Linked DNA regions of Macaca mulatta. The protein of the gene in region 1 purifies or fractionates together with the protein of each later gene. This does not show direct contact. Links are inferred from orthologs where the notes say so. Each region holds a gene or a part of one and is shown on either strand. Other genes may lie near its edges.

Evidence for each region. The genes of interacting proteins can lie anywhere in the genome.
Region 2: the proteins of NSF (region 1) and STX12 purify together in Homo sapiens (co-immunoprecipitation; 4 studies listed by BioGRID and IntAct, with this or other methods). This does not show direct contact. The link is inferred for Macaca mulatta from reciprocal best matches to the Homo sapiens genes NSF and STX12.

What each region holds. Positions count from the first base shown.
Region 1 is NC_133421.1:70,503,006-70,507,257, forward strand, and holds the start of NSF (vesicle-fusing ATPase), read right to left. Parts: upstream 2,873-4,252; 5' UTR 2,831-2,872; coding exon 2,819-2,830; intron 1-2,818.
Region 2 is NC_133406.1:213,166,877-213,171,188, forward strand, and holds the start of STX12 (syntaxin-12), read right to left. Parts: upstream 2,908-4,312; 5' UTR 2,894-2,907; coding exon 2,776-2,893; intron 1-2,775. UniProt on the Homo sapiens protein: SNARE promoting fusion of transport vesicles with target membranes. Together with SNARE STX6, promotes movement of vesicles from endosomes to the cell membrane, and may therefore function in the endocytic recycling pathway.

The DNA.
Region 1 (4,252 bases):
AAGGAACAATCAATGTCAGTGTCCAGAATGAACCGGAGGTGGGCCATACGCTCTAAGAAGACTACTTGGGAGGCCGGGCACGGTGGCTCAGGCCTGTAATCCCAGCACTCTGGGAGGCCGAGGCAGGTGGATCACCTGAGGTCAGGAGTTTGAGACCAGTCTGGCCAACATGGTAAAACCCCATCTCTACTAAAAACACAAAAATTAGCCGGGTGTCATGGCGGGCACCTGTAATCCCAGTTACTCAGGAGGCTGAGGTAGGAAAATGGCTTGAACCTGGGAGACGGAAGTTGCAGTGAGCCGAGATCGCGCCATTGCACTCCACGCTGGGTGACAAGAGCGAAACTCCGTCCCAAAAATAAAACCAAAAAAACAACAAAACAAAACAAAACAAAACAAAAAAAACTACTTGGAAGCTTCCTGCAGTAGTCCAGACCAGAAATGGTGGTAGTCTGGGAAAACGAGGTAAAAATGAAGATGTGGAAAGGTGAACAGACAGGAGATTTTTGGGTTAAAATGACAGAACCCATGTGACCAATCCAGCTAGTCCAGTGGGTGATTTGGATCTAGTTTAAAGCAATCATTCTCCCAAACCAGAGTCTTTAGACCCTAATTAAACACCTTTATGGGGGGCAGGAGCAGAACTGACAAATTTTACCAAATTTTACCTTTGTATAGGGCAGAGGACATGGATAGGGCAGAGGAGAGATATCAAGGGTTACCCACCCTCTCCCTCCCCCAGATTCCCAGCCTATATAACTGGGTGGATGACGGTATCATTCAGTGAGATATTCCTATCTCACTGAATAGGTACAGACAGTCCCTGACTTACAATGGTTTCACTTAACATTTTTCAACTTTACAATAGTGCAAAGGTGAGAGGCATTCAACAGAAACTGTACTTTGAGGACCTACACAACCATTCTGTTTTTCACTATCAGCACAGCAATAAATGACATGAGGTATTCAACATTTTATAATATAGGTTTATGTTAGATGATTTTGCCCTACTGTAGGCTAATGTAAGTGTTCTGGGGATGTGTAAGGAAGGTAGGCTAGGCTAAGCTATGATATTCGGTAGATGGGGTGTATTAAATGCATTTTCAACTTCTGATACTTTCAGCTTACAATGGGTTTATCAGAAGGTAACTCCATCGTTAAGTTGAGGAGCATCTACACAAGTTAGGTGGGCTAAGATCCTAGGTTCGGAATTGAAAAAGCTGAGTTTCAGGGGCCTTGATTTTAATAAGCTGTTGGACGTATTAACCTGAAACTTAAAGGGCAAGTCTGGACTGGGGGTAAAATATTGAGAATCACTGCCATATAGACAGTTGTAGCTATGGGCTTAGAAGAGATTGCCTGAGCAGAAATACCAGCAATGAATAACAAAGTAGAGGAGAGTGAGTCCGCAAAAGAGAGGTCTGAGTCAAACCAGGAGCTAGGCATCCAAGAACACATGTAAAGAGTGCTTTCCATCGAGGAGGCCATGGTCAACAACGTCAAAAGCTGCTGAGACATCAAATAAGGATTGAAAAGTTCAATTAAGTTGAGGGACAGGTTTCAGTGGGATGATGGGACAGAAATCAGACTGCAGTAGGTTGAGAGGTGAGTAGGTGGTAAGCAAATGGAAGACAATAAATATAGACAACTCTATCAAATTTCCTGCTGTAAAGTGGGAAGGGAAAAGGTGACAGCTGTGGGGGTGGGGGAAGGGTTTGTTTTAAGATAAAGAAGCTTGATTAAGAAGGAGTAGATGAATATACAGATAGGGTCTGAAGTATTGGTAGAAGGACTAGCCTTAAAAGGAGAGACCACGGGGAAAAGGAAGAGAAAGAAGCCAAACTAAATGACCTTTAAGATCCCTTCTGACTCTAGAATCTCATGACCTACAAGTCCCTTTAGATAGGGCTTTTGCATATATGCATAAATCTATGCAAACTTATTCAAAAATTCTGGTACAAAGAGATCAGTCAAGCACATCTTTCGCCCCCAGTGACGCAGTTAATGTCCTCAGGTTTATAACCAGTGTAATCTCTGGGCAGGACTCATCCCTTTAGAGCTTTTAGCTCAAGGCAGACTGCAATACAGCACTCAAGCAGCTCTATCTCTCCTCGCCAAATCCATCCTACCCAGCAACCCTAAAGCCTAAAGGAGGAAGTAAATTTAAAACCCTGAAACTACAGCATATCCTGCTGCATTGAAAGCGACTGTCATCCATAAAAACAAAACATGACAGCCCAAATCCATCCTCACTCCAAGCTAAAGCAAATTCCCGCCTGACCTGACAGTTGACAGGTCCCCCAGATGGCAGGGCTCTAACACTAAAAGTCATTGGCACCCCCTCCTCTTTCCCAACGACCTTTAATTTGTGAAGAGCCAGACATGGGTTCCTGATGATCCTTCCTACACCGCTCGCCCCGAATGCAGTAGACGTGCTCCCGGCACTTACTCCGGCGCCCCCTAATAAGCCCTCGCAAGGGGGTGCGGAAAGACCCCCAGAGCCAGTCAGAAGGGGCTTCGGCGACCGCGACCCTGCGGCTATGTGGAGGACAAGGGAAACAAGCCCCAAGGAATGGGAGAGGACGACCTGAGGCGCAGCAGACGCGGGTAACGAGGGGGTCATCTCCCCTCGAGGGGGGTGGAGTTGTTGAGGAGGGCTAATCCTCTGCCACCGCTCCCCTGCTACCCTCGAGTCCCGCTCTGGCCTCGCGCCCCATTGCTCGGATTCACTCCCACTCCCCTGGGGCCTCCTGGACCCCGGAGTGCCCGCGAGCCCGGCGCCCCTGCCTCGAGCCTGGGCTCCCAGACCGGCACTCACCCGGCCCGCCATCTTCGCAGACACGTCCGGCTAGGCGGCTGCAGCTCTGCGTTCGGCAAAGCCCGCCCCCGCCGTGCGCGCGCCCCCGCCGCCCGCCCTCGCGCAGGCGTGCAGCCGCGGTGAGGACGCGCGCGTCCCCGGAGTCCTCGCTCCACAGGGCGCGCGCGCGGGGCGGGCAGAGCGGCGGCGCCATTTTGGCTGGAGCTGCTAGGCGGTGGCAGGTGACCGTGTTTCCAGCGTGCGCGTCCGTCCGCGGCTCGCTCGAGGGCTGTTCCTGCGAGTCTCGTGTCCCCTGGCCGTTCGCGCCGGAATTTGTCGCAAGGGCTTTAATGCTTCGGATCACTTATCCCTTTGCCAGCAGTTGTTCGCCCTCGAATGTCCATTTTGCTCTGTGCTTCCAGACTCTCTGTTTTTTGGTTTTTTTTTTTAGACGGAGTCTCGCTGTGTCGCCCAGGCTGGAGTGCAGTGGCGCCATCTCGGCTCACTGCAAGCTCCGCCTCCCGGGTTCACGCCATTCTCCTGCCTCAGCCTCCCAAGTAGCTGGGACCACAGGGGCCCGCCACCACGCCTGGCTAATTTTTTGTATTTTTTAGTGGAGACGGGGTTTCACCGTGTTAGCCAGGATGGTCTCGATTTCCTGACCTCGTGATCCGCCCGCCTTGGCCTCCCCACGTGCTGGGATTACAGGCGTGAGCCACCGCACCTGGCCTCCAGACTCTCTTAAACATGGCCTTGCGGTTGAGGAAACCCGGCGCGTTCCCTGGCTTCCCCCAGAAAATATCAGCTCCGAGGAGTTGGTTCTGAGTTCAAATTCTCCATGAATTTTCTCACTTTTCTTTGTAGGCGTACTTGTTTTCCTAGTTGCTGGAATTGTCATCGTTGGCAGTTTTATTTATGTGTAGCCTGGAAAACTCAGTATTTTCTTCAGATTTGAAAGCGAATTGTGATTATTTTTATTAAATATTTGTCTTTAATAAAGGCAACTTGTATCTTCGACAACCTTTTCATTCCCCAGCGTTGTTTCATCTTAGACACTATACATGGTAGAATCTGAATAAAATATAACCTAAATTTCAGCCTTGTTGAACCTCGATGTTTTCACCATACCATTCCTCCACTGGAATCTCAGAATATCTAACTTCAAGCAGCCTGGGAGGAGACAGATTCTGCCGAATGGATTCCCTTTTGCTTTTATTTACCCCACTATCATCTCTCTCTTCATATTTGCGCAAGACAATAGGGAATGATAGGATTTGTTCTCTTTCATTTCTCACAGTTAATTAGAATAAATCGGGTTTTTTTTCCCCCCAGCATGAGAAAAGAAGGGAAATAACTAGAAGAGCTGAGCATGCATAGTGATTTAAATTTGAGAACTAATAAAATCAGACAGTGACCTGAAGATGAACTAGGGACAGAAGAAAAAGTTAACGCCAG
Region 2 (4,312 bases), on another chromosome or scaffold:
ACATGTGTAATCCTGGCCTATTGGGAGGCCAAGGTGGGTGGATCACTTGAGAACAGGAGTTCAGGACCAGCCTGGACAACATGGTGAAACTCCATCTCTACAAAAAATATAAAAATTAGCCAGGCATGGGCCAGGCGCAGTGGCTCATGCCTGTATTCCCAGCACTTTGGGAGGCCAAGGCAGGCGAATCACGAGGTCAGGAGATCGAGACCATCCTGGCTAATACGGTGAAACCCCGTCTCCACTAAAACTACAAAAAATTGGCCGGGCGCGGTGGCTCAAGCCTGTAATCCCAGCACTTTGGGAGGCTGAGACGGGCGGATCGCGAGGTCAGGAGATCGAGACCATCTTGGCTAACACGGTGAAACCCCGTCTCCCAGCTACTTGGGAGGCTGAGGCAGGAGAATGGCATAAACCCGGGAGGCGGAGCGTGCAGTGAGCTGAGAACCGGCCACTGCACTCCAGCCTGGGCGACAGAGCGAGACTCCGTCTCAAAAAAAAAAAAAAAAAAAAAAAAAAAAAAATTAGCCGGGCGTGGTGGTGGGCGCCTGTAGTCCCAGCTACTCAGGAGGCTGAGGCAGGAGAATGGTGTGAACCCAGGAGGCGGGGCTTGCAGTGAGCGGAGATTGTGCCACTGCACTCCAGCCTGGGCGACACAGCAAGACTCCATCTCAAAAGAAAAAAAAAAAAATTAGCCGGGCATGGTGGTGCACACCTGTAGTCCCAGCTACTTGTAGGGCTGAGGCAGGAGGACTGCTTGAGCCAGGGAAGCTGAGGCTGCAGTGAGCTGAGATCATGCCACTGCACTCCAGCCTGGGTGACAGAGTGAGACCCTGTCTCAAAACAAAAATTTAAATGTAAATTTTAAAATGTATGTTGGATCTACCTTTGGGAGTATTCTGGTTTTATATATATATATATATATATCAGCATGTATATAATATTCATTCAACATGTATCCATCTATCCATCTTCATGTTTATATTATATATTAAATATAATATTATATATGATATATATAATATTGAATACAAGTTGAATGAATATTTTGCAAATAGATATTAAAATCAGATTTAGCTTCAACAAGAAAATTTCAGCCTTGAACTAGAATTTTCTGATCTAACCTGTATTACAGCTCCTTCACAAAAGGAAACTGGAACAAAAAGTACTACACTTTCTAACCAGTGGTCATATTATTTTTTTTTAGTTCTGGATTTTAAGAGGTCACATACCCTTCCTTTCACTTCCAGAGTCTCAACTGCTTTTGATCAGAAACTTCTCAAATTCTACAATATACATTTAGATTTAAAAGCAAAGTGAGCCTGGGCAACATAGTGAGACCCCATCCCTACAAAAAATTTAAAAATTAGCCTGGCATGGTAGATGCATCCTTGTAGTCCTCGCGACTCAGCAAGCTGATCAGGAATTCAAGGTTATAGCCAGCTAGGATCGCTCTACTTCACTCAGATCACTGCACTCTGCCTGGGTGACAGAGCTAGACTCCATCTCTTAAAAACAAATTTAAAATATTTAATTTTTTTAAATTAAAAAAATTAGGCTGGGCACAGTGGCTCACGCCTGTAATCCCAGCACTTTGGGAGGCTGAGGTGGGAGAAGTGCTTGTGCCCAGGGGTTTGAGACCAGCCTGGCCAACACAGCAAGACTTCATCTCTACAAAAAAGAAAAATTTTTTAAAGTTTAAAAACTAAAGCAAAGTGATATTATTTAAAATACAGAATTGTAATTCAGGACTAACTAGTTCTACCTATTAACAGAGTACACCAAGCTCACAAAACACAATAATAAACAATAAGGATGATGACCACCATTCTTTCCAAGTAAAGCTGTTGCTGATCTCCTGTTTATAAGGCTCCAAGATGATTTTCAAGCCCAAGAAACACCCTGTATTTGACTCATTCAGCTACAGTTTCACTCAGACCCTAATGGGGAGGAGGGAGTTTTAAGACAAGCAATACCATTCTGAATTCCACCAACAACTCTACCATGCATTACTTGCTCTGTGGTTGTGGCTAAGTCTCTTAGCTTCCCTGTGTACCAGATTTGTTCAAGAGCAGCTAAGTAGGGAAGGAAAACAAAAGCCTCATCTGCCTGAAATCCAAAAATACACCCCAATGCTTTGTTACAAAAGACAAAATAATGTAAGTTGAAATGTTGCTGGTGAATTATCTTTATTAAAACAGAAGTCATCCCACCTCTCAAATACCAGTCATTGTGTCTGATTTCCGAATTCATTACAGGAAGAACTGTGTATGAAGTCATCCAAACACATGCACTCTCCACTTCCCTTAATTGAAAGTTGCTGATTTCCGAGGAGCCAGGGGCTGAGCAGAATGTAAACCTAAAGCCTAAATCAGTAAACAACCCCATCCAAACTGGCCTAAGAGGAAAGCGAGGTGGGTGGGGAGGAAGGTGGATGACAGGAGAAACTCGGCTGACCACTGCGCCAAGTCAACGCACTCACAGCTCTCGAGATGACACACACTCCCCTTCCCACCCTCGGGCTGTTTTGGTCCCAGAACCGTGGGGGCAGAACTCCAGAGAAGCAGCTCAAGCTTCAGCTGGGGCCGGGGACCCTCGGGCAGCCCGGGCCTGACAGACTGGGGGAGGCAAGCCCACCGCCCCCAGGGTGGACAGCCCGAGACAGCCCCAGGTGTGGCCTCGGCCGTAGTCCCAGCCGGGCTCCGCGACCCGACAGTCTCACCCAGGCCTGTCCCGGGGACAGCTCCCGCCCCCCAGCTCGGTACCCCGGCTCACTGGCTTGGCTGATCCGCTGGATGTTGCCGCTGCACGTCTGGATGATGCTGCTGAAGTCCCGGAGCTGGGGCCCTGAGGGCCCCAGGTTCCGGTACATATCTAAGGGACCGTATGACATGATGAGGAGCTGAGACCTGCTCGCCCTACACCACTCTCCTACCGGAAGCAGCCGCCAGCCGGGACCCGCAGGCTGACGGAGAAACTGGGAAGAGCAAGGGCGGGGAAGAAGCTAAGGCTGCGTGCGCACTAGTCCCGCCCCCACGCAGCGCGCACGCGTCCTCCCCGCCCCTGTTCAAAGTGCGCAGGCGCCGCTGGGACTGGGGCTGGGACTGTATCTTAGAGACAGGACTGCCTGGGGCTTGGGGGTTGCGGGGCGGAGAGATGACGTCACCTAGTTGGGGCTGAGATTGGATGAGCTTGGGTGGAGGTGTTGTTTCTCGCCAGGGCACATTGACAAGAGGCAAGAATTTTCGATTTGCATAAAACTGTACCAGATGATCTCAGCCCTTACATCCTATTCTGTTTTGAGAATTCAGGCCCAAATATGGGAGTATTCAACGTTGAAACTCAGACCAGGAACCAAATCGTAACCCGAAATTCCTCTCTACTTCCGTCCCCAGGGTTTTGGTAGTATTTGGGGTTTCCAAACCGCTTTCATTTCTCCCTCCACCCCTCTTCTAATCTAAACAATAAAATAATAATGTTTATTAAGCACATACTATGTGTGAATCCTCACCGCAATTCACTTGTTCATAAGATTTTTCACAGCAAGGGACGATGCTCTGTCTACATTTTTATCATTAGAATAGATAGCGGAGAGTCGGTTTTTTAAATATTGAAGTAAAGTAACTCATCAATGTTAGCATTATTATTTTCCCTATTACCGATGAGAAAATTAAGACCAGCGAGGTTACTTCGCCTTGCTGAAGTTTGACTGCAAAAGCCAAACGCTAAGCTGACTCTCTCCTCACCTTGCTACTTCTCTAAAATTCATTCTCATCGAAATCTCTCCCAAATAGCTCGTTCATCTATATCCCAAACCGGGATTTCTTGGAGAACTAGATTCCTAAAATTTAAAAATCATACCCTTAAATACTTTGGAATGCATGACCTCAATTTTCCTACAGAAGACTGCATTTCTGTAAGCGTATGTTAAAAGGAAAGACATAGGATTTTGGTTTGGGAGGAGATCAAGATGGTGAGAAGTGAAGGGGAACTGGCTGTTTCCTGTGTTCTCCACCCCACCCCAGCCTGCTTTGCAGTCTTTGGAAAATGCAAAGACGGAAAGCTGCTTGCCTGGGTGAAAGGAGACCCCAAGTGAATGAGCCTGTATATGGCCTTAGGGTTTTTTCTTTATTTTATTTTATTTTTTTTGAGACAGGGTTTCGCTCTGTCACACAGGTTGGAGTGCAGTGGCATGATCTCCGCTCACTGCAACCTCCTTCTCCTGGGCTCAAGAGATCCTCCTACCTCAGCCTCCAAGTAGTTGGGACTACAGGCGTGCGCCACCACGCCCAGCTAATTTTTCTATTTTTTG